Linked DNA regions of Xenopus tropicalis. The protein of the gene in region 4 interacts with the protein of the main gene of each other region in a biochemical or structural test. Links are inferred from orthologs where the notes say so. Each region holds a gene or a part of one and is shown on either strand. Other genes may lie near its edges.

Evidence for each region.
Region 1: of the proteins of trim28 (region 4) and sirt1, one has a biochemical effect on the other in vitro, tested with the Homo sapiens proteins (2 studies listed by BioGRID). The link is inferred for Xenopus tropicalis from reciprocal best matches to the Homo sapiens genes TRIM28 and SIRT1.
Region 2: the proteins of trim28 (region 4) and irf1 form a complex in vitro, tested with the Homo sapiens proteins (2 studies listed by BioGRID). The link is inferred for Xenopus tropicalis from reciprocal best matches to the Homo sapiens genes TRIM28 and IRF1.
Region 3: the proteins of trim28 (region 4) and cbx1 form a complex in vitro, tested with the Homo sapiens proteins (3 studies listed by BioGRID). The link is inferred for Xenopus tropicalis from reciprocal best matches to the Homo sapiens genes TRIM28 and CBX1.
Region 5: the proteins of trim28 (region 4) and cbx3 form a complex in vitro, tested with the Homo sapiens proteins (2 studies listed by BioGRID). The link is inferred for Xenopus tropicalis from reciprocal best matches to the Homo sapiens genes TRIM28 and CBX3.
Region 6: the proteins of trim28 (region 4) and cbx5 form a complex in vitro, tested with the Homo sapiens proteins (6 studies listed by BioGRID, with this or other methods). The link is inferred for Xenopus tropicalis from reciprocal best matches to the Homo sapiens genes TRIM28 and CBX5.

Annotation. Positions count from the first base shown.
Region 1 is NC_030683.2:38,239,829-38,244,011, reverse strand, and holds the start of sirt1 (NAD-dependent protein deacetylase sirtuin-1), read right to left. Parts: upstream 2,801-4,183; coding exon 2,452-2,800; intron 431-2,451; coding exon of another isoform or gene 317-430; intron 1-316. UniProt on the Homo sapiens protein: NAD-dependent protein deacetylase that links transcriptional regulation directly to intracellular energetics and participates in the coordination of several separated cellular functions such as cell cycle, response to DNA damage, metabolism, apoptosis and autophagy.
Region 2 is NC_030679.2:36,218,882-36,223,137, forward strand, and holds the start of irf1 (interferon regulatory factor 1), read left to right. Parts: upstream 1-1,456; 5' UTR 1,457-1,548; intron 1,549-3,171; 5' UTR 3,172-3,176; coding exon 3,177-3,263; intron 3,264-3,862; coding exon 3,863-3,962; intron 3,963-4,256. UniProt on the Homo sapiens protein: Transcriptional regulator which displays a remarkable functional diversity in the regulation of cellular responses.
Region 3 is NC_030686.2:11,718,020-11,721,728, forward strand, and holds the end of cbx1 (chromobox protein homolog 1), read right to left. Parts: intron 2,801-3,709; coding exon 2,626-2,800; intron 2,116-2,625; coding exon 2,021-2,115; intron 1,402-2,020; coding exon 1,257-1,401; 3' UTR 501-1,256; downstream 1-500. UniProt on the Homo sapiens protein: Component of heterochromatin. Recognizes and binds histone H3 tails methylated at 'Lys-9', leading to epigenetic repression. Interaction with lamin B receptor (LBR) can contribute to the association of the heterochromatin with the inner nuclear membrane.
Region 4 is NC_030683.2:102,982,378-102,986,616, reverse strand, and holds the start of trim28 (transcription intermediary factor 1-beta), read right to left. Parts: upstream 2,801-4,239; 5' UTR 2,560-2,800; coding exon 2,322-2,559; intron 1-2,321. UniProt on the Homo sapiens protein: Nuclear corepressor for KRAB domain-containing zinc finger proteins (KRAB-ZFPs).
Region 5 is NC_030682.2:41,663,558-41,667,562, reverse strand, and holds the start of cbx3 (chromobox protein homolog 3), read right to left. Parts: upstream 2,801-4,005; 5' UTR 2,755-2,800; intron 1,907-2,754; exon of another isoform or gene 1,883-1,906; coding exon of another isoform or gene 1,833-1,882; intron 1-1,832.
Region 6 is NC_030678.2:145,616,582-145,620,582, forward strand, and holds the start of cbx5 (chromobox protein homolog 5), read left to right. Parts: upstream 1-1,201; 5' UTR 1,202-1,347; intron 1,348-4,001. Other genes in the region: hnrnpa1 (heterogeneous nuclear ribonucleoprotein A1), read right to left, coding at 678-692. UniProt on the Homo sapiens protein: Component of heterochromatin that recognizes and binds histone H3 tails methylated at 'Lys-9' (H3K9me), leading to epigenetic repression. In contrast, it is excluded from chromatin when 'Tyr-41' of histone H3 is phosphorylated (H3Y41ph).

The DNA.
Region 1 (4,183 bases), about 65 Mb from region 4:
GACCACAAGATGGTCAGAAAGCTATCAGCAGAATGTTTTGTAGCAGGGATTCTGTACCAGTTAATTTATGAAGCCCTAATAAGAAAGGTCTCAGTGGAGGTCACCACAAGTGTCCAACATAAAAAAAATTTGTGTATTTATTGTCTAATGTCCATTGGTAAGGCTGTAAGAGGAGAATGCTATAAATTTATCAAACTCAAACTAATTTTTTCTAATATAGTAAGGATAATTCTGTTATAAACTAAAGATTTTGCTAGCATGGTTATTTCTTTCTACTAGGCACAACTAGGCCTATAACAAAAATAGGCATCTTTACCTATACAGGGCCTGGGTGCCCAATCACTTGAGCTGGCATGAGATGCACCATCATCATCTTCACTGTCACAAGAATGAAAGCCACCAGCAAGATCATCATCCAGATGGATACCCGCTGTAAAAGAATTCAGCCAAGGGGTTTAAAACAAGGCATTTTCTGAAACAAAGACTGCACCAAGAACAACGTTTTCTATCCAATACACAAGTACATTTTTGTCTTTGTGGCAAAGATAACACATTTTGTAACAATTTAATAATCACTCTCAGTGAAAGGGTGTAAATGAGTGATGAGTGGGGTCACAAAATACACTTTTTCCTGGAACTCAATCTGTTAGTGACGTCACCAAGGTGGAGGCTCACAGAAAAAGATGATGGTAGGTATAACAATACCAGCACCTGGACCCACCAGAACCAGCAACCCAAACTCACCTGACCAGAGGACAGTTGATTTACACATCACTAGTGGAAATTTTAAATGTTTCGTCCACACCTCCTGAGTTGTTACTCATTGTGAGCAAAAAACAATGGGAACTGCCCTGTGTGCAGTGCTGATAATGGGAACTCATTCCCCCAAACCCTAGCACCCTCAACTAGCCTCCATTAGCCAACTCCCTGCTCCCATTCCACATGGACAATTATGCTAAAAAAGATCACAAAATGAGCAGATCTTCACCCGCTGGTCATAGGTGCTGTCAGACAATGCATCCCCAATCAGAAAACCACACCTGTCCCATCGAGATCTGGACAATTTAAGACTGTCAGTCGTGTAGGCCTGAAGGACCCGAATCGGAAGCTGAAATACCTGTGTATGGCCAGCTAAAGTGCTGCCCCAGTAGTATGGAGGCTGGAAAAGCACAGAGACAGATCAGGGAGTGGCAGTGAACTTGGCTCACCACCCACAAATTGCAACCCCTGGGTTATGCAGGTTTTAGGTCGACCTGCACTGTTGTGAAACCTCCATAAAAATGCAGAGTACCGTAGAGGAGATCATAGGTGCCATCTTCTGTTTCTTCAGATCCTCTTCATGCAACAAATCCACAATTTTTAGGATCCGGCCAAACCCTGAATCCTTTGCAAAAGATTCGGCCGAATACGGAACCGAATCCTAATTTGCTTATGCAATCTTCAGAATCTTGCTGAAAATGGCCGAATCCTGTATTAGATGCATCCTTGCACTTCACAGAACCTCCTTGCACTTCTTCAGAACCTGAGCAGTTGGAGCTACTCTGGGATCAGCTTTAACTATGCATGTCCCTCAGGCTCTGTGTCAGCAAAGTGAGGATACAAAAAGTGATGACTGTGACTCCCGTTACTCTGCATTTAATGGCAGGTTCACACACATGGACACTTTTAAATGTAACTTTGTGGGGCTAAAAGAGGCCAGTTAAGGAGCTGTTTTGGGGAGGCTGAAATTTCCTTCAGGAAGGACCCTTAAGTTTCTTTATCCTACCAGTACAAGGACAGTTAATGAGCTCTATACAGCCTATGTGTAGATAGTTAAGGCCAAGAGAAGGCAATAGCCTCCCTTTTGGGAAAAATGCCCTGAAGGGAAGAAAAGTAGTGATGTGCCTACATTTTAGCCACATCCAAGCCATTCACAGCCTGGGTTTGTACATGTGTAGTTGAGTAAAGCTCTTTGACTTGCCTGCTGTAGGGATTCCAAAGAGAAGGTAAGTGAAGATTTTACCCTGGGCTGGTGCATTTTTTTCTACAAAGGAGCAGCGGCCCAACTATAGGGTGTAAGCATAACTTTTAAGCTTTCTTGGGCAGGGCTCTCTTCACCTGTTGTATCAGTTATTGATTGCTTTATATGTTACTCTGTATGTCCAATGTATGAAACCCACTTGTTGTACAGCGCTGCGGAATATGTTGGCGCTTTATAAATAAATGTTAATAATAACTCACTCACATATACCATTGCTAATGTTTTTAAATGGAATATATGTTCAAACTTGGCAAAAGCACCTTCATTTGTATGGGTCAGTATTAGCAAATGGAAGGGAGAGAGGAGTAGCACTCTATACCCACTGATGCGCTGAATCGCCCACATTACTGCACTGAAGAACCTCCAAACACCTACAGAATATGCCCCGCCCAATGCCGCTGTTAGTAGGGAAAGAGTTAAAGGGAACCAACCTCCGTAATCAACAGCCTGATCCGACAGGTCTCCATTGGGCATCTCCTCGGCTCCGCCCTCCTCCTGGCCTTGTACCAAATACGTTCCCAAAGGAAGGCCCTGAAAGCCCGAGCCATTGTGCGCTCTGGATTTGCTTTCCATTGCCGAAGAGGCCTCGCCTTCCTCCTGGAGAGAAGCAGCTATAGGCGGCAATGCCGCTTTTCCCTCGCTTTCAGCCCCCACAAGCTGGCTCCCACCCCCGCCGGTATCTTCCAAGCGCTGCCTTTTGGAAAGGGGCTCGCCATTTTCTTTTGAGACAGCTAACACAGCGCCGGCAATGGGAAAACCTACACGATCTGAGTCCGCCATCTTCCCACTGCCAGAGAAGGAGTCGCCCATCAGCTGTACGATGGAGCGCAGCGAACCACGTGATACACCGTTTCCTATTGGTTCCCCGGCCGTGTGACGTGTACAATAACAAACTAGCCACTCGCATGGTACCTGGGGATGCGCTGGCACCGCCACAACGAACGGAGAGGGTGTTGGAAAGCGAAATCGGCAATAAAGTGTCATTTTCAGGGGTGTGTTGGTGTGGTGATTGTCAAGCCCGCAAAGCCTGTTAGCAGATACAAAAGCCAAAGGAGAGGGGCATTTTTTATAGTCCGTGTAAAAACTTTCTCTTGAAGTTGTCTCATGTCTAGGGGGAAAAGAACTGGGGAGATGCTGAAACCATTTTGGCGTCATTAATCAGTGTAGGTTAATAATATTTGGCTTAAGCATCATTTTTAGAAGCTCTGTGCATAACACATTTGTGGATGTAATTTGCCGAAATTGCCTTAAGAGGAAACTTGGGGCGACTTTGGCAAATTGCTGCGCATTGTATGCCACCCCACCAGCGATTTAAATTGTAGCCAGTGGGATGGCATTGCGGGGAGATTAGTCGCCCGCGACAAGGGAGATTTGTCACTAATCTCACCATGTGTCCCTGCCCTAAGGGGAAAGACACATGGAGCTACTAGTAGCAGCTACTTTTTCAAGGTTACTAAACTCCAGAGAATCCCCTGCCATAGACAATACTGAGAATTGCCAAAAAAAACACATAGAGACGGTTATCAGTAAATGATCAGCATTGTCTAATTTAGTAGCCACTACAAGTAGCTGCTACTAGTAGCTCTGTGTGTCTTCACCCTAAGGGCTCTGGCACACGGGGGAGATTAGTCGCCCGCGATAAAACTCCCTGTTCGCGGGCGACTAATCTCCCCGAGTTGCCTACCCCTGCCATCCCACCGGCGAACATGTAAGTCGCCGGTGGGATGGCAGACGCAGCGGGGCAATTTCAGGGAATCGCCGAAAAAGACTCGCGAGTGGGATGGCAGGGGTAGGCAACTCGGGGAGATTAGTCGCCCGCGAACAGGGAGTTTTATCGCGGGCGACTAATCTCCCCCGTGTGCCAGAGCCCTAAAACAGAATATGAACAACTAGAATGGCTATAGAGCAGTGCTGCAGTGCCGAGGGCCGGAATTTCTCTAGCATACGTGGTGGAGGGCCGCTAATGGAAGCCAGTTTTGACCACTCCCCTTTTTGAAACCACACCCACTTCAAACCACACACATTTTATCACAATGGTGGTAGCACAGCAAAATCCCAAATGCTTGGTGCTTACTGTGGGGATATCAACCATCATTCATATGTGAAAGAATTATGTCATATTAAGATATACCCTTAAATTCCATATGCCTCCTCCTCCCCTGT
Region 2 (4,256 bases), on a different chromosome or scaffold from region 4:
GGCCTCACTTGCCTCAATTAAGGTCAGTGTTCACGACTCCACCATAAGAAAGAGACTGGGCAAAAACGGCCTGCATGGCAGATTCCCAAGGCGCAAACCACTTTTAAGCAAAAAGAACATTATGGCTCGTCTCAATTTTGCTAAAAAACATCTCAATGATTGCCAAGACTTTTGAGAAAATACCTTGTGGAACTTTTTGGAAGGTGCGTGTCCTGTTACATCTGGCGTAAAAGTAACACAGCATTTCAGAAAAAGAACATCATACCAACAGTAAAATATGGTGGTGGTAGTGTGTTGGTCTGGGGTTGTTTTGCTGCTTCAGGACCTGGAAGGCTTGCAGTGATAGATGGAACCATGAATTCTACTGTCTACCAAAAAATCCTGAAGGAGAATGTCCGGCCATCTGTTCGTCAACTCAAGCTGAAGCGATCTTGGGTGCTGCAGCAGGACAATGACCCAAAACACACCAGCAAATCCACCTCTGAATGGCTGAAGAAAAACAAAATGAAGACTTTGGAGTGGCCTAGTCAAAGTCCTGACCTGAATCCTATTGAGATGTTGTGGCATGACCTTAAAAAGGCGGTTCATGCTAGAAAACCCTCAAATAAAGCTGAATTACAACAATTCTGCAAAGATGAGTGGGCCAAAATTCCTCCAGAGCGCTGTAAAAGACTCATTGCAAGTTATCGCAAACGATTGATTGCAGTTATTGCTGCTAAGGGTGGCCCAACCAGTTATTAGGTTCAGGGGGCAATTACTTTTTCACACAGGGCCATGTAGGTTTGGATTTTTTTTCTCCCTAAATAATAAAAACCCTCATTTAAAAACTGCATTTTGTGTTCACTTGTGTTATCTTTGACTAATAGTTAAATGTGTTTGATGATCAGAAACATTTTGTGTGACAAACATGCAAAAGAATAAGAAATCAGGAAGGGGGCAAATAGTTTTTCACACCACTGTATGTGTGTGTATATATATATGTGTGTGTATACATATGTGTGTGTATATATATATATATTCCATGCAACTATAAATAGTAAAACATATATGTATATTAATTCCTATAAAGTACTCCTACAGGTTGCAAACACCACCTGCTCACACTTCCCACAGATATTTACAGTGAGTAGTGAAGGTGTGAGCTGCTGCTGCCGCTGTTTTTACTCAGGGAAACACAAGGTGCAGCATTACTGCAACTCCCATCCCATTCCTTGCAATGCACAGGCCAGTAATTAGCTGGGATATCAGTTTCAGGCTCGGACTTCCCCCTTCTTTTTTTTTTTTTTTTTCTCTCTCCGCACTACTGTACAACAGCCTGATTTCCCCGAAATGATGCCGAGCTGCTAGCCCAGCCCCTACCAATAGCGGCGCAGCAAAACACATGGAGTGGGCGGGCCGAACAAACTAATACCTGGGGTTCCCCGCTATACATAATAAAGTCACTCAGGCTCTCTCAGGGAAACATCTCTCCAGGAATCGCTCGTTTAGGAGATATTTCTAATTCACGTCGCCCCTTTTCTCTCTGGATTACAAATTCCTGCTAGAAAGGTAAACTTCATCGTTTCATTTGCTTCTGCAGAACAAAAAAAGGACCTTTAAATGCACGAAACATGATAGAATCTGATGCTGGAGGCTGGTGATGTTCGGGGTGATGATCGCCTGGCATATTATGTGCAATGCATTGGGATTTGCCTCTGCTCTGGCACTGACGGGTATAGCTAATGATAGAAGATGGGGGTCAGGCTGAGGGTATAGCTAATGATAAAAGATCAGGATTAGGCTGAGGGAATAGCTAATGATAAAAGATCAGGATTAGGCTAAGTTAGATAGTTAGACAGCAGATCAGCAGCCAGTAGATGTTGCTGTGTGTGCAGTGGGCACTTTATCATGCTGTTATGTATTCCTTATTGCTTCTGTATCCAATGAAGGAGGAAGTTGGAATTAAAAAGCAGCAAGGCATAGGAGAATGGAAGACAAGGCTGACCCCTTGGTATAGATAGGGCAAAAAAATACATTTTTAGTATGGAGTGTGGGAAAGTTTGCACTGTATGATGAGACTGCATATAAATGTTTCCTGTGACTCTGTGCTGATCCTTCTGCAACTTGTGACTCTCCAGCTATTGCTGAACTCCTGTCCTGTGATGCTGGCAGAGGCACAGACTGCATATCTCTGCATGCAAACAGGAGTTAAATTCAGTATCTAAAGAGTAAAAATGCAGCTCAGTCTGTGTGTCGTGACTGCTCGTTTCCCAAAGAGGTTCTGCATCAGCTGTGAGCTGTGGGTCACTCTTCCTTGCACTGTAGAAGTGCTGTCTTTAATGTGCATGCGGGGAGGTTTAACTGTTTGTGGTCTGGGTGTTTGTGGTGCAGAAGTTCATTTGTTTCTTTACAGCAAAATGTTATTTTTTTTTTTTTGGTAGCAGCAGAGATCAGGGCGGTCCGTTTTATGCTGGCGGTAAAAACACAGAGGAAAAAAAACACAGCAGCCAGTTAGGTTGCGTTTCAGAGGATGTAAGCCAGTGCTTGGGGGCGTAACTATCCCTGCTATCTTCTTGTGGCTTCAAGCAGCACAACCCAGCTCTGTGAAGCTCCACATGTTGCTTTTGGCAGCAGCTTTCAGCATTGTGTTGTGCAAGATGGCAGTATTCCCACTTATATTCTCAAAGCTTGTAGTTTTGTCTTAGATTCAAAGGGAAACATTTAGGTGGCACTGGCATGTAATACAGTCTTTATATTTCATTGCACTGATTAAGCCAGTAGTAATAGTAGTATAGGAATAGGAGTTGTAATTCCAAATATATATATGAAAAAGTGCAAAAAAATGAAAAGAAATTGGTGTCTTGGCTGGATGAGAACATTATAATAAAATACACATTGGGAGTTTTATTTGCTTTGATGGAAATTTAATTTTATTATGCAGTATTTTATATGTGAGTTTAGCACTCCGTTTGGTTTTGCCAGTTCACAGGCAACTTTTGGCAACTGTTGTAGAACCATATTTCATAGTTGAAAACTTCAAGGAAGAGATCTGTGATGAATAGTAATAAAGTAATTTTACTGGTGTCATCCCAGGGCAGTTTGGAAATAACATACAAAGCATGAAGATTTCAAAAAAAGAATGGAATTCCCCACTGACAGCGAAAAATGACCTTGTGTGTTTTTCTTTTGCAGAAATAATGCCCGTTACACGTTTACGGATGAGGCCATGGCTAGAGGAGCAAATAAACTCCAACAAAATCCCTGGACTTTCATGGATCAACAAGGTAAGGGCATGTATACATGAACTTTCCCTTTAGAGCAGTGGCATACAACACATGTATAAGCCTGGAACTTCTATATTATGTTTGTCAGTTAACGCTGTGATGCGCTTGTTTATAAAAGGATAGCTCCTGTTTTAGTGCTACTGTCACTTTAATGTTAACAACCTTACATCTACATCTTTGTTAGTAAAAACAATTGCAGTTATGGAGTATATTTAGCAAAGAAGAAAAAGAAAATTCTGCAAGGTTTCTCCCTACTAAAATAACTGAAGCATTTAGAGAATTCTGTGGGCGTGGGAAGTGATTTAGGACATTTGGGAAGGATTTTCTGTTTGCTTTGTGATAAATGGCAGATTTAGGGTTAGAGAGATGTAGTTCTGCATAATAAACATTGCAAATATACTTATGGTTAACAACGTTTTCTATCTCTTTTAATCAATCTGCCTTGTGAATAACATTGCCATTATGTAAAATACTGGCCAGATGGCAACCCTGTACGCATGAGAATATATTTTATATAGTGGTTTGGCTATCAAAGCAACTTGTTTATAAACATCAGTGCTCCTTGGAGGAGGATAATAAGCAGATCTTCTCTTCTGCAGGAAGAAATGATATTTGAGATCCCTTGGAAACACGCTGCTAGACATGGATGGGACATCAATAAAGATGCGTGCCTTTTCCGTAGCTGGGCTGTCCATACAGGTACGGCTAAAAGGGTGGGTGGAAGTGCCTGCATATTATAAAGTCTCTAGGGGATGTATAAAGCTAATGTCCTGAAGCACAGTTTAGCTTAGATTCTTAAAGGAACTGGTAATATAACTGCAATATGTAGCCTTTCCTAGCCTGATTCTAGTTGTATTAGTTTAATGCCAAGTTGCTGCCCATGAACCTATGGTTAACAATTACATCATTAACAAGGCAGCCAATATGTCTCTCAGCAGATAATACAAGATGATACTTTTCTCTCATTTGCTTCTATCCCCAATATCCTACATT
Region 3 (3,709 bases), on a different chromosome or scaffold from region 4:
CAGAGTTCCCTGTATAACTCAGCCTGCAGCCTTGTGCCTTTATATGGTCACAGAACCCCTCAGTGACTGCTAATATCCTTATCATTTACAGTAGGGGGTACATTATCCCTTATAATACGTGAGTGATACTCAGAGTTCCCTGTATAACTCAGCCTGCAGCCTTATGCCTTTAGGATCGGAAAGGGTTAACCCCCATGTAAAGGCTGGAAACAGAAGGGAAGGCAAATAATTCAATAACTATAAAAATAAAATGAAGACCTATTGAAAAGTTGCTAAGAACTGGCCATGCTATAACATACTAAAACTTATCTTAAAGGTGAACTAACCCTCAAAACAAGTTACATTTTCATCTCTGGCAATACCAGATTCACAGTGATGATTCTCTATCTGCCTGGCAGAGACTCACTAAATAGATTTGCCCCTCTCAGGGCAAGTCCTGGCCGGGGGGGGGGGGTTCCTTGCAAGCAGGCTCTGGGCACAGCAAACAGAGCGACAATGAATTATAAATCTAAAAGTTTTATTAGGACGACAGACTGACAAAATGCTAAGAATTACTTTACATTAAAACGAAGTTTGCACAAACCTAAAACACATGCTTTTTTAAAAAAAACAAAAAAAAAACCTGGAAAAAAAAAAAAGGAAAAAAACTACAAATCTGACAGTTTATACAATGAATCTGTATGTAGTCACAGCGTGATGGCAGAGACCCCGGGGCCTCAGCTTGAAGGAATTCTGGGGAAGTGTTAGAAAATGGGATCAGCACCTGTTTCAGCTTCCTGCCTGCCAGGACACCCGCCCCCCACCCAGCAATGAGATTCCCATAACCGTTCTTATACAGGGTCCCCAAAGAGCCCCACGTGGCGAGTTCCTAGGCAGAAGGATCTGCAGCTACCTGTTGGACTGTCTTTCTTCTTTCCAGGGTGACAATGATATCGAAGCGCTTTGTCCCCCCTCCCGCCGTGGCCTCACCGTCTCACCCACAGACATCACTAAATGGACATGCTACTCAGTAAAAATGCAGAGTTTGTAACACTATCGGGAAGGAGGAGGAGGAGGAGAAGCTTGTAGGATGCAGTGTCCCCTGTGCTAGGTTCCTCCTGTCCACGTGTCCCCGGATTTCTGCCGATAATACATACCAAATATTCAGGACAGACTGAATCCTCCACGGCTCTCCCCCTTCCTCACTCTGGCGTGAGTGACTGGCGTATACATCTCACCCGCTAACTGTGGATCGTTGGTGAATTGTTGGGGGGCACTTAGTTTTTCTCGTCTTTCTTGTCATCTTCCTCGGAAGGGTAAGAATGCCACGTCAGCCGCTCCTCGTAGAACGAGATCACCACCTGGGGGCACTTAACGTTGGCTTCCTTGGCCGGGACGAGGTCGGCTTCGTCTGAGTTTTTCCTGTGGGGGAGGGGGATGTACCCATTGCTGCTTAGCACTGTATCCCCCCAAATAAGGAGCACACCCCAATGAGCATGCACAGGATTATGTTTAGGGTCATGCAGGGTTCCCAGAAGCAGATACACACTGGAGCCAGTCATATCTGCTACATGACTGATGTAAAGGTAAGTAAACCCAAACTTCAAATGCAATACACATTTCCAGTGGTTTTAAAGGGGATGTTCACCTTCACACAATAGTCTGAAGTTGTTTTGAAGCTACCGATCGTTGCTGCTAAAACTCTCTCTTTGGAAGGGATCTCCAACACCATTCTGGCTAAACAGGAAGTTGACACTGAACTGGTTACAGAGCACGCCTTCCCTCTGCTGCTTTATTTGCATATCTTTGAAACCATTGGCTGGCAAAATTCAGCCAATCCGATCAATTTAATGCAAATGAAGCAGGAGAGGGAAGGCATGCTCTGTGGCCAGAACACAAGTTGGTGTCCGTGATCCCTTCCAAAAAGAGAGCAGAGAGAGTTTTAGCTTCAGACTATTGTCTGAAAGTGAACATCCCCTTTAAAGTTGCAAATGACCTAGGAGAGGTGTAGAAAGGGACCCCCCCCCCCCAAGGATCTCACCATTTCATTAGGAACATCAGCTCTCCGCTGGAGTCTGTGGCACCAATGATTCTCTCCGGTTCCAATCCGCGTGCAAAACCACGTGGTTTCTCCACCTGGAATGAGAAGGAGGTTATGTTACGTGGCTACTTGTGGTGGTGCCACATCACTGGCCCCAAATACCGAGTGAGCTGATGGTTTACAACTCAGCCGACACGTGGGAAAACTTCTGTTCTTTGGGGTGCTCACAAGGTAACTAATTGATTTGTACTAGACCCTTCCATGTCCAGAGGCCTGTGCATATCACAGTCTGCTGGGAAAAATAAGGTAGTCTAGGACTTCAAGTCGCTCTGCTTTCCTGAAGTCCCAGAATCCATCACTTCAACATGGAAAAGGGATTTAAATGACTGTCAGCCTAAAGGGGTGGGAAGGACGGATCTTACGAGTCAGACTATCATGGCTTCCTCCCAATCTGTGGAATTAGGTTTACCTGTGTAAAAAGGACAGTATGTATGTATATGTATTTCTCGATATTTAGTTTGTCTTTATTTCTACAGAAGTGTGAGCTCCTGTCATTGCAGGGGGCATTTTCCCTTTAAAAGCAACTGAAAAGCCATTTGACTCACTTCATCCTTCTTCTTCTTGGGTTTGCTCTCCTCGCCGACCTCGGTGTCGGAGTCAGCCTTGCGCTTGCCTGCCTCTGTTTTCTCCGACTCGTACGCGGATTTTTGCGACTGCAGGAACTCTGCGATGAGATCGGGACAGTCCAAGTTCTCCTCCGGCTCCCAGGTGTTATCGTCGCTGCAAACAGCACAGGGATTCACAGAATTCTCTCCCCCCCACAATAAGACCCTTCATCCAAACTGCGCAATGTTGCTTTGCAACTGCAACCAAGTTTCTTCCGCATTGGGAAGGGGCCGGGCACGCCAAGCTGCAGGGTAATATCTAATGGGCACGGCCGGCACTAAAGAGAATATAGTGGCCCTAGTAAAGGACCTGTATCGCCCATGTCCAAGATGAAGCCCTCCAGCCGTCACTGAAATACAACTCTCAGCTCAATCCCAGCCTCAATCACCGGTTGAACTATCTTTATCTATTTAGGGTGTTTTATTTAAAAGGCAAGTCAAGCCAAAATATAATTTTTGCCCAATAAAAGAAAACATAATTCTAAGCAGCTTATTTGTATATATAATTGCTATTAGAAGTTGCATTTGTCCTTTTCTATTCCCTGCTTTGGGGGTTCTGACTTTTGAAGCAATAAAAAAAACACAAGGCAGCAGCCTTGCTGACCTTTGCCGACAATAGCTTTTTGGCTGCTGGGGTCAGTGACCCCCCCCATTGGAAAGCTGGAAAGAGGCAAATAATTCAAACACTGCTAAAAATGAAGACCAACAGAAAAGTTGCTACAAATATGACAATTGTACTAAAAAAAAACATGAAACATATTTTTACTGTCGAACGTATGATTTTCTCTGTGGCAGCTCCTGGCAGTGGGCAAATTTAACTCTATAAGTGCCAGGCTAAAGCCCCTTATCTATAACCCCTGCAGCCTTAGTGGTAATTACAGGGTTCAGTAATTGGTTCTGCTGAAGATACACTACTATGGGTCAGACCAATTGGCCTCTGAATTGCTCAGGTTCCCCCAGTCACATGTGTAATACTGGGTACCCCTGTGCAGGGAGCCCTCCATACACCCATCATAGAGGCATC
Region 4 (4,239 bases):
ATGAAAGTTTAGCAAAAACTGAGGGATATTTTCTGCAAGTCACCCTTTAACTTAAAATCAGGAAAAAGACAGTTTGACATTTCTGTCAGAATTGCAATGGTCTATGGACTTCTTGCATGCTGCGTCTCACCCATATATGATCAAGCCTCTTGTGACTGCTACACAACGAGGAGTATTAAAACCCAAAAAACTTTTTTTTGCAAACTGGAAAAAAAAAAAATCTAAATAACTAGAAATATATATTACACATTTTTTAACGATGGTTTTAATGTTATTTGTAAATGTAATTGTAGTTTAAAGAATCAACTGTGGTTATTAAATTGCCCAAAGTTTCCTAGCAAGGAAACCCTTTCGTTAAACCAAAGCAACACGTATGCACGGGATGGCAAGTCGGGGAGACTTATCTCCCACAGTGCCATCCCACAGGCTAGAATGTAAATCGCCGGTGGGATGGCATACGTGTCACTGCAATGTCCCAAAGTCGCATGAAGTTTCCTGTCATGACAACTTCAGGACATCTCAGTGACTCGTATGCCATCCCACCGGTGATTTATATTCTAGCCAGTGGGATGGCATTGCGGGGGAGATTAGTTGCCTGCGACAACGAAGATTTGACACGGGGCGACTAATCTCCCCGTCGGTCACTGCCCTAAGGGTGAAGACACACTGAGCTACTAGTAGCAGCTACTTGTCACAGCTACTAAACTTCAAAAAAACCCCTGCCATAGAAAAAAATGAGAATTGCCTTTACTAAGGGCAGTGGCAAACTGGGACATTAGTCGCTTGCGACAAATCTTCGTGCGACTAATCTTCCAGCAATGCCATCCCACTGACTAGAACGTAAATCGCTGGTGGGATGGCATACGAGTCGCTATGATTTGCCGAAGTCACCCAAAGTTTCCTCTCAAGGACTAATCTCTCCATCTGTCACTGCCCTTAAACACACGTAAAGACGATTATCAGTAAATTATCAGCATTGTCTATTTCAGTAGCCACGACAAGTAGCTGCTACTAGTAGCTCTGTGTGTAGTAGCTAGCAGCTGTGTGTTCACCCTAAGGGCTCTGGCACACAGGGAGATTAGTCGCCCGCGACAAAACTCCCTGTTCGTGGGCGACTAATCTCCCCGAGTTGCCTTCCCCTGCCCACATGCGGTGGCGCGTTTTCACACAAATCGCCGAAAAACCCTCGCGAGGCAACTTCGTCGATTTGCGCAAAATCGCGCTGCCGCGTGTGCCATCCCACCAGTGACTTACATTTTCGTTGGTGGGATGGCAGGGGAAGGCAACTCGGGGGGATTAGTTGCCCGCGAACAAGGAGTTTTGTCGCGGGCGACTAATCTCCCCGTGTGCCAGAGCCCTAAGGGCTGTGACACATGGGGAGATTGGTCGCCTGCGACATCCCACCGGCTAGAATGTTAATCGCCAGTGGGGTGGCATATGCGGCACCGCGATTTGCCGAAGTTTCCTCTCATGCCGGGAGCAGACAGGGCGCCATGCCGGGAGCAGACAGGGCGCCATGCCGGGAGCAGACAGGGCGCCATGCCGGGAGCAGACAGGGCGCCATGCCGGGAGCAGACAGGGCGCCATGCCGGGAGCAGACAGGGCGCCATGCCGGGAGCAGACAGGGCGCCATGCCGGGAGCAGACAGGGCGCCATGCCGGGAGCAGACAGGGCGCCATGCCGGGAGCAGACAGGGCGCCATGCCGGGAGCAGACAGGGCGCCATGCCGGGAGCAGACAGGGCGCCATGCCGGGAGCAGACAGGGCGCCATGCCGGGAGCACTCAGGGCGCCATGCCGGGAGCACTCAGGGCGCCATGCCGGGAGCACTCAGGGCGCCATGCCGGGAGCAGACAGGGCGCCATGCCGGGAGCAGACAGGGCGCCATGCCGGGAACAGACAGGGTGCCATGTTGGGAGCAGACAGGGTGCCATGTTGGGAGCAGACAGGGTGCCATGTTGGGAGCAGACAGGGTGCCATGTTGGGAGCAGACAGGGTGCCATGTTGAGAGCAGACAGGGTGCCATGCCGGGAGCAGACAGGGTGCCATGCCGGGAGCAGACAGGGTGCCATGCCGGGAGCAGACAGGGTGCCATGCCGGGAGCAGACAGGGTGCACACAGTAAGCTGGCACCGTGCATGGCCTGGCATTCCCCTGGGCACCAAGGCAGCTCTTTGTTCAGATATTGAGCATGGTGGGCCGGAAACTGAGGCTTAGAACCCGGGTCCCCTTCCCACACTGACACCACACGGAAGGTGGGCGGCAACATGAGCCGCACATTCAGAGCAGGAGAGCTGCAGGCCTCCCGCCTCTTTCTTTCATACCTGAAGCCAAGTCTCCGCTGTTAGTGGCCACCTCAGGCGCAGGGGTCTCTGGCGGAAGGCAGGCCCGGCACACGGAGTGCAGGCACGGTAAGAGCTGGGGCTCCGTGTCCGCCCGTAACTGCTTCTTGCACACCCCGCAGCTCTCCAGTAGCTCCTGCCCGTCGGGCTCCCCGCTGCCTCCGTTGCCATTGTCGGTGCTCAGGACACTCCGCTTGTCACGCGTTGCAGCTACCGACATGTTGGGGGTGTTTTTCTTTCCCTTTGTGAGGAGCCTGCGCAAGAGAAGACTTTCCCGCCTCTTCCGAGAGACTCTATTGTTCTGCTGGCTCCCGCGGCCTGCCTGCCTGCTGTACCGAACTATCGCGCAAACAGCGGATGGATACGCACGCACGGACGGGACGTCCCCAACAGCAAAGCGCCGAAATCCTAGCGGAGCGATCGATTCAAAAAGTGCATGCCCACTAAGTGTGATGTCAGGAATGGGCGGGGCATGGACTTGCTGAGTGTCTTAGTAAAGTGCAGTTAAATAAGAATTACATTTTATTTGTTTTGTGTGATCTACTCCAGTGTTTTGTTTTTTTTTACTAAGGGGGATTATTTCTTATATGTCTGTGCTGATTTGGGCCATTAGCAAAGCTTTATTAGCCGGTAGAGCAGTGGTTGTCAAACTTTTTGTTCAGGCCCCCCTGATTCCTGAGACAGAAATAGGAAAATATTGGTGGATCAGTCATTCAGGCATAGATCAAAGAATATCTTGCCCTCAACCCTGGGCAATAGTTTCCACACATTTAGATAATTACTTGACTTACCAATCAAATGATTATTTTGTATGCAATATGAATAAGTGCTTGACTTTCCCTAGATTCCTCAGGCTGCAGGGTTCTAAAGCAATAATTAGAGATTTAGAGAAGAAACATTGGTCATGCCTCATTCTCTCATATAAAGATAGCTAATATACTTGTAACCCTATTTTGGCTACTATGGTACTTTTAACACGCAAATCACCTGCGTGTGGCGCTACAGGAGCCCTGAGCCCCCGCTTATCTATGGGGGAGAGGTATGATCTAAATAAATGGCGTGCCTTCACCCAGGGTAGGTATAGGTAGAACTATATATCTCCTCCCTGGGAAAACTCTATGATGTCCTCCTTGGACCAGGATTCCCAGCAACTCCCGGTACCTTGCCCCTCCCTTGGGGTAGCTGCTTACCAGACAGTTGAGGATCCTCAGTATATGAACAGCCAAGACACTGGTTAAAATGATGAACCAGATGAACTTGCTTTATTGTTGATGCAGGCAGAACACTTCAGAGGATGTCACACAGATGGCTCAAGTCACACACTCTCTCTTTTGGCTACCCCCGGTACTCCCACCAGGTGATCCCACCTAGGAACTCACCCCGGTCCACGCGTAGGGCCCCTTCACTGGGAACACTCCCAGGTGCTGACTTGGCTCCTCTTACTAAACACTACAGGACCTGGACTCCAGCCATGAATGCTGGGGGGTCTTAACCCTTCTCTCTCCTTTTGGGGCTATCTCTGCCCATTCTCTCTAGCCTGCCTGTCACTCTTAGAGTGACCTATTACAGTACCTCCTGTACTAGAACACTATCCTGTTGTACACCTCCTAACAGAGGCAGTCCCAGGACTAAGACCTAACAGAACATGTCTGCATGCCCTTTTATATTGCAGCACACTGCCACTTAGTGGTTGCTGCTGAATAACAAGGAAACTCCCTTTTAGCACATAAACACACAGGACCACCTTTAGGGCTCTGGCACACGGGGAGATTAGTCGCCCGCAACAAATCTCCCCTGTCACGGGCGACTAATTGCCCCGAACTACCATCCCACTGGTGAAAATGTAAGTCGCCGGTGGGATGACACGCTGCGCAGGTGATTTCGGCAAATCGCCGAAAAT
Region 5 (4,005 bases), on a different chromosome or scaffold from region 4:
GGTACAATTGAGATTTCTTGCACAAAACAAAAGCAGATATTTTCATTTGGGTTCCCTTTCATTCAAAGTTCCCGTCCCTACAATCAAGGTCAAAACAAATCAGTTGCCCACTAAGATTCCTTGCCCAGCTGCAGCCTGTAAGACAGAGATAAGGAACAGCAGTAGAACGCAGATCTGTTTTGACCTTAATTATACAGCCAGGAAGTAGAATGCAACTTTGTTTTAGATTGTGCCAGTTTACTACAAGAAATCACAAGAATGTTTTTCTTAAATAAGATAGAAGTGCATTTGGCACAAGCCCTATTCACTGGGGTGCACTACCCCTTTAAGAGACATTTAGATATCAGAAACATATGTTACAAGACATGCATTATTAATACAGTAGTTATCAATATAAACCAATAATTGTATATGCAATTAGTACTCTCCATTTCAAACTTTCCTGTTAACATTAGTGTAAAATGGCACTTCAGACTGTTGGTCACATGAGAGAATTTCCAGCCTCCTGCTCCCTGATTACATACAGTACAAGTTCTTAGCACAGTACACACCGTGCCAGCACTGCCCACTGATAGCTGCTATGCTTGATCCTACCTAACCTAATAGAAACACTCCTCTTCTGTAAAGGAACAGCCCCTAATACTGTGAGCACCATTCCAAAGACAATATGCACCACTTTTTCACAGCCTTATCAAAATTATCCCAACACAAACTGTATTATGCTTACAATTAGGTGCTAGCTCCCTGCTATGTAGTAAGTTATAATGTTAAAGCACAAGGGTGCCAATAAGTTAGAAAATTATTTCTTTGGCCAACTATTCTCACAAAAAGTGCCAGACTTTACCCAAGGATTCCTAGCACAAACTTGCACATGTCCAGTTTAATAAAAATTTTCCAATGGTAGTATACCGTGCTTGTGCTAGTCTGTTTACACTAGGAATTCCAGGGAAAAGTGCAGTATTGTGGTATCACTGCTACTTAAAGAGCTCTAGGCTGGCACATTTTTATTCCAGAGATAAAAATAAAAACCTAACCTCTGTCAATTAGGTTTTCTTGAGATTTAATTTCACTGGAAACTATGGGGTATTATCCCAAACCTTAAGAGACTGGTTTTTCATTTGATTATTAGAACAGGTTCAGCACTCAAAAGGCAATTCATTGCTCCAGAAAAAGGACTAATCTAAACACCTCTAAGTGACTACCTGAAGATTCTGGCCTGTTTAGTGCAAAGAAGAATAAAACAATATAAATAATTAACACAGGGAAAAATGAAGTTCAATGAGACATTGGATAAGTGGAAAAACCCCTAATTTTGTAGGCACTTATGAATACTATATGGTGCTGGTGTCACTTCGGGCTAAAAATTAATCCTATCTGTAAAAAGGTCTCCTTTACTGGAGCTCCATGTAGATCCTATCAGTCTTCTGTGCTTCAAATGAAGGGCGGGAGTATCCTAACAGTTGAATTCACAAGCAAAGACATACTTCAGTTCCCTATTGGGTCCGCCTAGCGTAGGTTCCTATCCTACAGTGCAGTGTGCCAAGAGCCAGTGGTTCCCCTGCACATCCAGAGATTTCAGCCTGCAGGAAGTGGAACAGATGGGCGGGACTAGAGGGGTCTGTGTATAATGTTTCAATAAATCAGTCTGAAACAACTATTTTAAAGCACAATCCTTCTATATTTAAAGTATAATTCACTAGTACATTCTTAATTTGTTATGATAAGTCTCCTTTCAGCACACGCCCTTATCACTAAGCCAATCCTATAAACACGGGATACACTGTCCCTTGAAATGAGAAAGCGGTCTGCCGTGAGGCGAAATTCTGCCATACCAGAAACAAAGGCAGGAATTTTCTGCTGTGACTGCCGTGCGAGACTCCATAACCCCCCCGCCCCCCCATACAACATTAGCGTGAAAGCAGCTCTGCGCAACGTGCATCCAGATAAAGTTTTACGCCGCTTCACCTCCCAAGCCGGAAAGCAAAAGCATCCCCCACCCCCTCCAACACGCATGCGTACATGTGAATGAGCCGCAACATGATTGATTAACCGAATGTATTCCGGAGGGAGATGAGGAACACACATTCACGGAAACTAGAGATTAGACTGTCGCAGGGGAAACTGCATGGCACAGTTGGAAACCATTATAACCAGCGGCACCGAGCTTTCCCTATGATTGTCCAGCCCGGGTAGCCATTGCCCTGTATACCCTTTACTTTCCCTACTAACCACCTAGAGGCCACGAACCTTCGCGCCTGCGCACCCCCCGTACCGAACAGCATTAGCTTCATTGTAAAGAAACCCAGTGATACAGAGAAACTCAGGGGGTATCCATCCTAGCACTATGTGAGAGTTACTGTGCGCTGCACCGGGCATGGGAATACTGGCGGAATACCACTAACACTGCTAGCGTCATATAAGTGCTAGGGGGCCGCTCTTCATTCGGCAAGATATATACGTGAAATAGAAAGTTGTGACTTTTTCTGCCGTTGAACTACAGCTCCCAACAAGCCCAGGTAGCGGTGAGCAGCAATTGAAGACAAGGCAGTATGTTTGCAGAACGGCCTCCCCGCCCTTACACAATGCCTCCCACCCATTGGTCTGTGCTGCTACTCTGCAGCAGGCCTCCGCTTCTCTCCCAAACTAGCAGCAATTTTCCCGCCTCCCCAACCCTGCCGGGCCGTGCTTCTCCCATGCTGCTCCTCTCCCTCCTCATGCCCCCGGGTACAACATTCCTCTCTCTCATCCCCGTACCTCACTCTCTTTGGATAACCAGCACCCGGTGACTCCTGCTCCGTCCCCCTCACACCGAGAAACGCTCTCCAAGCCGCGGCTGCCTGCAGCTCCGATGTGCGCAGGAGTGGGAGGGCCCGAGTGACGCGCAGAACAATGGGCCCTACCAACACACTGGCGGGGAATTTACTGGCGCGAACAGTAACTCTTTCAATACCATGGGTCTAAGGGAAGCGGCACCCTGACAAAATAGGACAGCCTGCCTTGAGGGCAGTTAATGTCAATTCCGGTACAATCTACACGGGTGTAGTTGAAGAGCCCATGAAGTCAGGGTCTTAATGATAAAAGAAAACCCGAATTATATATTTAATAGTAGTGAGTCACGTGTTGAAAGGTAGGTCCCAGGCTCCGCCCGCCTCTGTCGCTCCTCGTGTAGGTGTCTGACTGATACATGTCGTTTTGTTTGCAAATAATAAAAAAAAAAAAAAAATGCTTGAAATATGTGGCATTGACACATATTTCACTTCACTAGGCCGCCATTTTCGTGTATTTTACGAAGGCACTCCCCTGTCTGTCCAGTGTATGCGTTTCATCATCTGGACGTTCTAGGTATACACTGGCAGCTGAGCAGTCACATCACCTACACAGAAAATATTTATGCTTACAAGTGCAGGGCAGTCTGCCAAGTGCAATTTCAGGCAAACTTTGCTGTAAATTAGATGCAATTGCGCTAAAAAAAATTCTGTCCATTTAATATGAGAGTGTCAGGAACCTATTCTCTAGATGCAAGTGCACTGCACCTATCCAGGGGTGTTTCTTGCCCCTGAGCCACCTGAGGAGGTTCCTACCATGCCTTTACAGCACGGGAGGGGGTCCAGGCATGCCACATCGCTAGTGTAGAGAGTGCCATGGCAATCTCTGCTATAGTGCAGCAAAATTTCCCTTTTAAAAACCAGAAATTTGGCTCCTAAAGTTGTCAGGAGCGGCTATTTGCCTCCCCTGGTAACTTCGGGGGTGCTGCTGCCTGAGGCGAGTTTTTAAACTCGCTTCACAGTAACTGTGCCCCTGCACCTATCGCCTCAGACGGCAGAGCCTGGCAAGTTACCAGGGGCAGCAAAAGTCACTCCTGGTAACTTAAAGGAGAAGGAAAGGCAAAGTCACTTGGGGGTGCCAAAATGTTGGGCACCCCCAAGTTACTTAAATCGCCTACCTTTTATCCCTGACTGGTGCCACTGTTCGGAGAGAACAGCACCAGCCCGAGGTAGATGCAGC
Region 6 (4,001 bases), on a different chromosome or scaffold from region 4:
CAACCCATTCACCAAAATGGTGAATCACCAGTTTCCCCTCCCCCACCGCGATACCATAAGGGTCATTTTTTTCTATAGGAACAGGTTTCATTTAAGTTGAATGTGTAGAAGCCATAAATAGCGAGAATAATAAGTATATTGTTAGCCTGAACATCGAAGCTGAAAACACGCGTTTTTACAAATCCGGGAATAAGTTTGCCTTTCTGTTACCAATTTGTACGGTATCCGAGAGAGAGGTATTCTTTTATTTATTGCTAGAGAATATCTAATATGTATTAAGGAGAGGCCTAATCATGTGTGGCGTTAGAGAAAAGGCGCCTTCCAGCTACGGGCCACAGCGCCGCCATTAAGCGAGTAGAAAATAGGCGGTACCATAGCGCCTCGCAGGGTGGAGCGCACAAAATGGAGTCAGACAAAGGAACTCTACGCAAAGCTTCCAGCTCGGCGTCTAAAGAAAATCCCCAGCCAGGGCCTACATGTTATTCACATAATTTAGTCGTTATCTAATATAGCCTGACCTACCGTAGCACTCTCATATATACAGCATACAAAAAAAAACCTGGCCCAAAAAGGCGCCAACACTCCTACTGATACTTATGCCCATAACTAGAAGGCGTAAAACTAAACGACTATGATAAAAAGAACCGAATGCATTATGCACTGGCGCTAGGCCTTACCTCGGACTTGTGCATGGTGACTCTCCCCGATGTTAACTCAACAACAGCAGAAACAAAAGAGAAGCGACAGGAAGGAAGAGTGGGGGATTATAGCGCAATGGCAATGTATATTTAGTGCGCCAGAATACGCCCACTTGCCTCCTAATTGGTCGCTGTCTGCGTAGGCATCGTCGATTGGGCAACTAGCGTGACGTTTAACTTCAGCGATTGGTTAAGACGTTGAGGAGGAGGGGAAAAGAAATCGGGTACGTTTAGTCAGTCCTTTTGTCCGGCCTAAGTGAGGTGCTGGTACGCCCCGTTTTCTCATTGGGCGAGTGATTATCGGTGTGCATATTTTATACAGAGATTTCCGTACTGGCCCGGTGCTCGTTTTATAGAAGTTCGGGCAGATTTGGTTCTAGCCATTGAAATTACATTTTATAGGGCCTCAACCTTTGGTTATGAATTCTGGTGAATGGTTAGGCTGCAGTATGGCACGGACTGGGCATAGTGTGTACCCGAGGAGGGGCATTCCTTTAGGCTGGAGGGCGGTGTTGCGCATGCGTCTAGTGGGTTGTTTTTGGCGGGGTTTGGTCGCTGGCTGCGCACAGTACCGCTCGGTAAGAGCCTTCACTCAATTCCTGCTAGCGAGCAGCTTTCGGTGGGCGCACGGTGTATTTCGCGCAGGAAGGTGAGTACAACTCGCTGCCTCCCACCCCTCCTCGGCCCTTCCCATTCATTGGCTGTGTGAGGTGCTGCTGCTGGCACTGTGCGAATAATGGGGTGCCCCGGCTTCATTGTGGGAGACAGGGACAGTGATGTGGGAGACAAGGGGCGCTGCTGATTGGCGGAAGCTTGGGGGTCATTCGCAAACTTTGGGAGGAACGTGTTGTACCGTTCAGCCGTGTAGCCGGGCAGCGACAGTGCGAGGCTTAACTTAGGTACTTACCTGGGGCTTACAGACAGCGCTGGGCAATACCCATTGCTCTCTCCCCCTGGTATTGTATCCTGGGCTGGTCCTATTGGACTATTATACAATAAAAACCTGTATGGCATGATTCTGTTGTATATTCTCTGTATACAGATATCGGGCATGGCCAACATCCAGCTGTTCAGTTGGGGGAGGTGTAGTACAACAGCTGGATGTTGATGTGAGTCCTCCATTCATTCCATCATCATTGTGTGTCAGCAATCACATATGGAACGTCTGCTCTTCTGCACCCCTCCAGCTGCTGTGAGCTATGTCTGCACATATCAGCCAGCAGGTCAGAATGGTGTAGTTCAGCAGGAACAGTCTGCCAGGGGTTGGGCATCCCTAACCCAAGTAAAACCATGGCCTGTGGCTATGGAAATGGTAATACATGCAACACGCAGTACAGCAGCTTTACACCAGGCACATAACTTACTGGTATCACTTGAAGCAGAAAAGCAGTTTCTATGCAGTTGTCTCCATAGGTTAAGGCTATTTGCAGCAATTCCACACTTTTCTGTTAAATGAAGAGTGCCTATATTCAGAAATTCTGCCCTTGGAGGGGGGCGCATGCAACGCAAATAAGAGCGTTGCAAAATGGCTTCAGACATCACTCAGACCAGCTCTAGGCATTTCTATCAATCTCACCTCCTGTAAATAAAGTAAATACCTTGCTTACATGAGGCTTGAAGGGGGTCTATGGCAGGAGCTTAAAAACTACTATGCTTACAACCAGCTAGGCTGCTACCTAGGGAAAATGAAAAATGTCCCTAGGGAAATGAAAGGGAACGTGTATTTATAATATGACAATACACTTTAAGCAACGGCATTCCTTTAAATAACCTTCACACCTGCATGCCAACACAGCAAGCTTACTAGGTGTAATCACTAATGCTAACCTATAACCATACCATCTGGCAATTCTGTAGATTCTGGCAAATGCCAGAGGGGCTGCAGTAAGGTGTGGTAGACAGTCACTATTTATTGGGCCAGTGGAGGGGATTGGGCCTCCGTGTATGTCAAATACCAGGGCCTATTATGAATCTTAAGGTGTCCATGCACTGGGCAATTTTAGCTGCCAATATTGGTCCTTTAGACTGATTTGGCAGCTTATCTGCCCATGCATGGGCACCAACAACAGGCCCCAACTGACATCTGACTTGAAATCGGGCAGGTTTGATATTTACATTGAATTGGGGACCGTGTCGGCTCGTTTATGCAGTCTCTGAACTGATGGTGCCTATGCCCACCATTCTAATTCAATTGTTTGGCCCTAAGTTGAATTAGCCCAATATCACCCACTCGTAGGGGGCCTATCGAGAGAATATCGGATCTTACGGTGTATGGCCACCTTTAGTCCAGACTCCCAGATAAAGTCTGCTGGAGTATAGGGAGTAGTAGTTGAACAGCAGGAGGTTCACAGGCTGGACATGTGGGCTTAAATGTGCCTTTGTATACTTTATTCTTAGACTGTAGACATCTTATGTATATAAACAGTAAACATGTATAAACAGTGGGCAGATTTCCACATGGGCAGTAACCCATAGCAACCAATCCATGACTGCAGATTGAACAATGAAAAGCAAAAATGTGGTTGCCATAGGTTACTGGCCAGTGTTCATAAAAAAGCCCCTGTACACAGTCTACTTTGGAAGGGCAGGTGACATCTCTGTTTACCACTTGACCACAAAGGGGTTAAGATAACTGAGTGAAATTGCTCTTAACTTTCACTCTTATGTACTGTTTGATGACTTTATTATTTCAGGTTGCTTTTGCAACTTAAGGTGGAACTCCACCCAAACACAACTTAAGCGTTTTAAAGAGTAACTTTGTAATATACATCAATTAAAAAATATGCAGCAATTTCATGATTTTTAATATACAGGTATGGGATCCCTTACCTGGAAACCCATTATCCAGAAAGTTCCGGATTACGGAAAGGCCAACTCCCATAGACTCCATTATATGCAAATAATTCTAATTTGTAATTCTTTTCTCTGTAATTATAAATCAGTACCTTGTACTTGATCCCAATTAAGATATAATTTAATCCTTACTGGAGGCAAAACAAGCCTATTGGGCTGTTAAAGTAGTCGACTGTTCTTAACCTGCAACCTCCAAATCCCACAATCCCCTGCCGACGTGATGTCAGTAAGCAATGGTACATCATAGTGCAGTGCATTGTGGGTTATGTAGTTCTTGCATGCTGTCTGTAAGCTGTTGAGAACTTGTTACTATTTGTAACATCAATGTTTTAGTCCCTCCTCTCCCACCAGGATTTCAAATGATGCAGAAAGGTAACTGTTTTGAAGCTGGATTTCAGCATATAAAAATGGTATTTGTTTATACTTTTTGAAGGAACAGATTACAGTGAT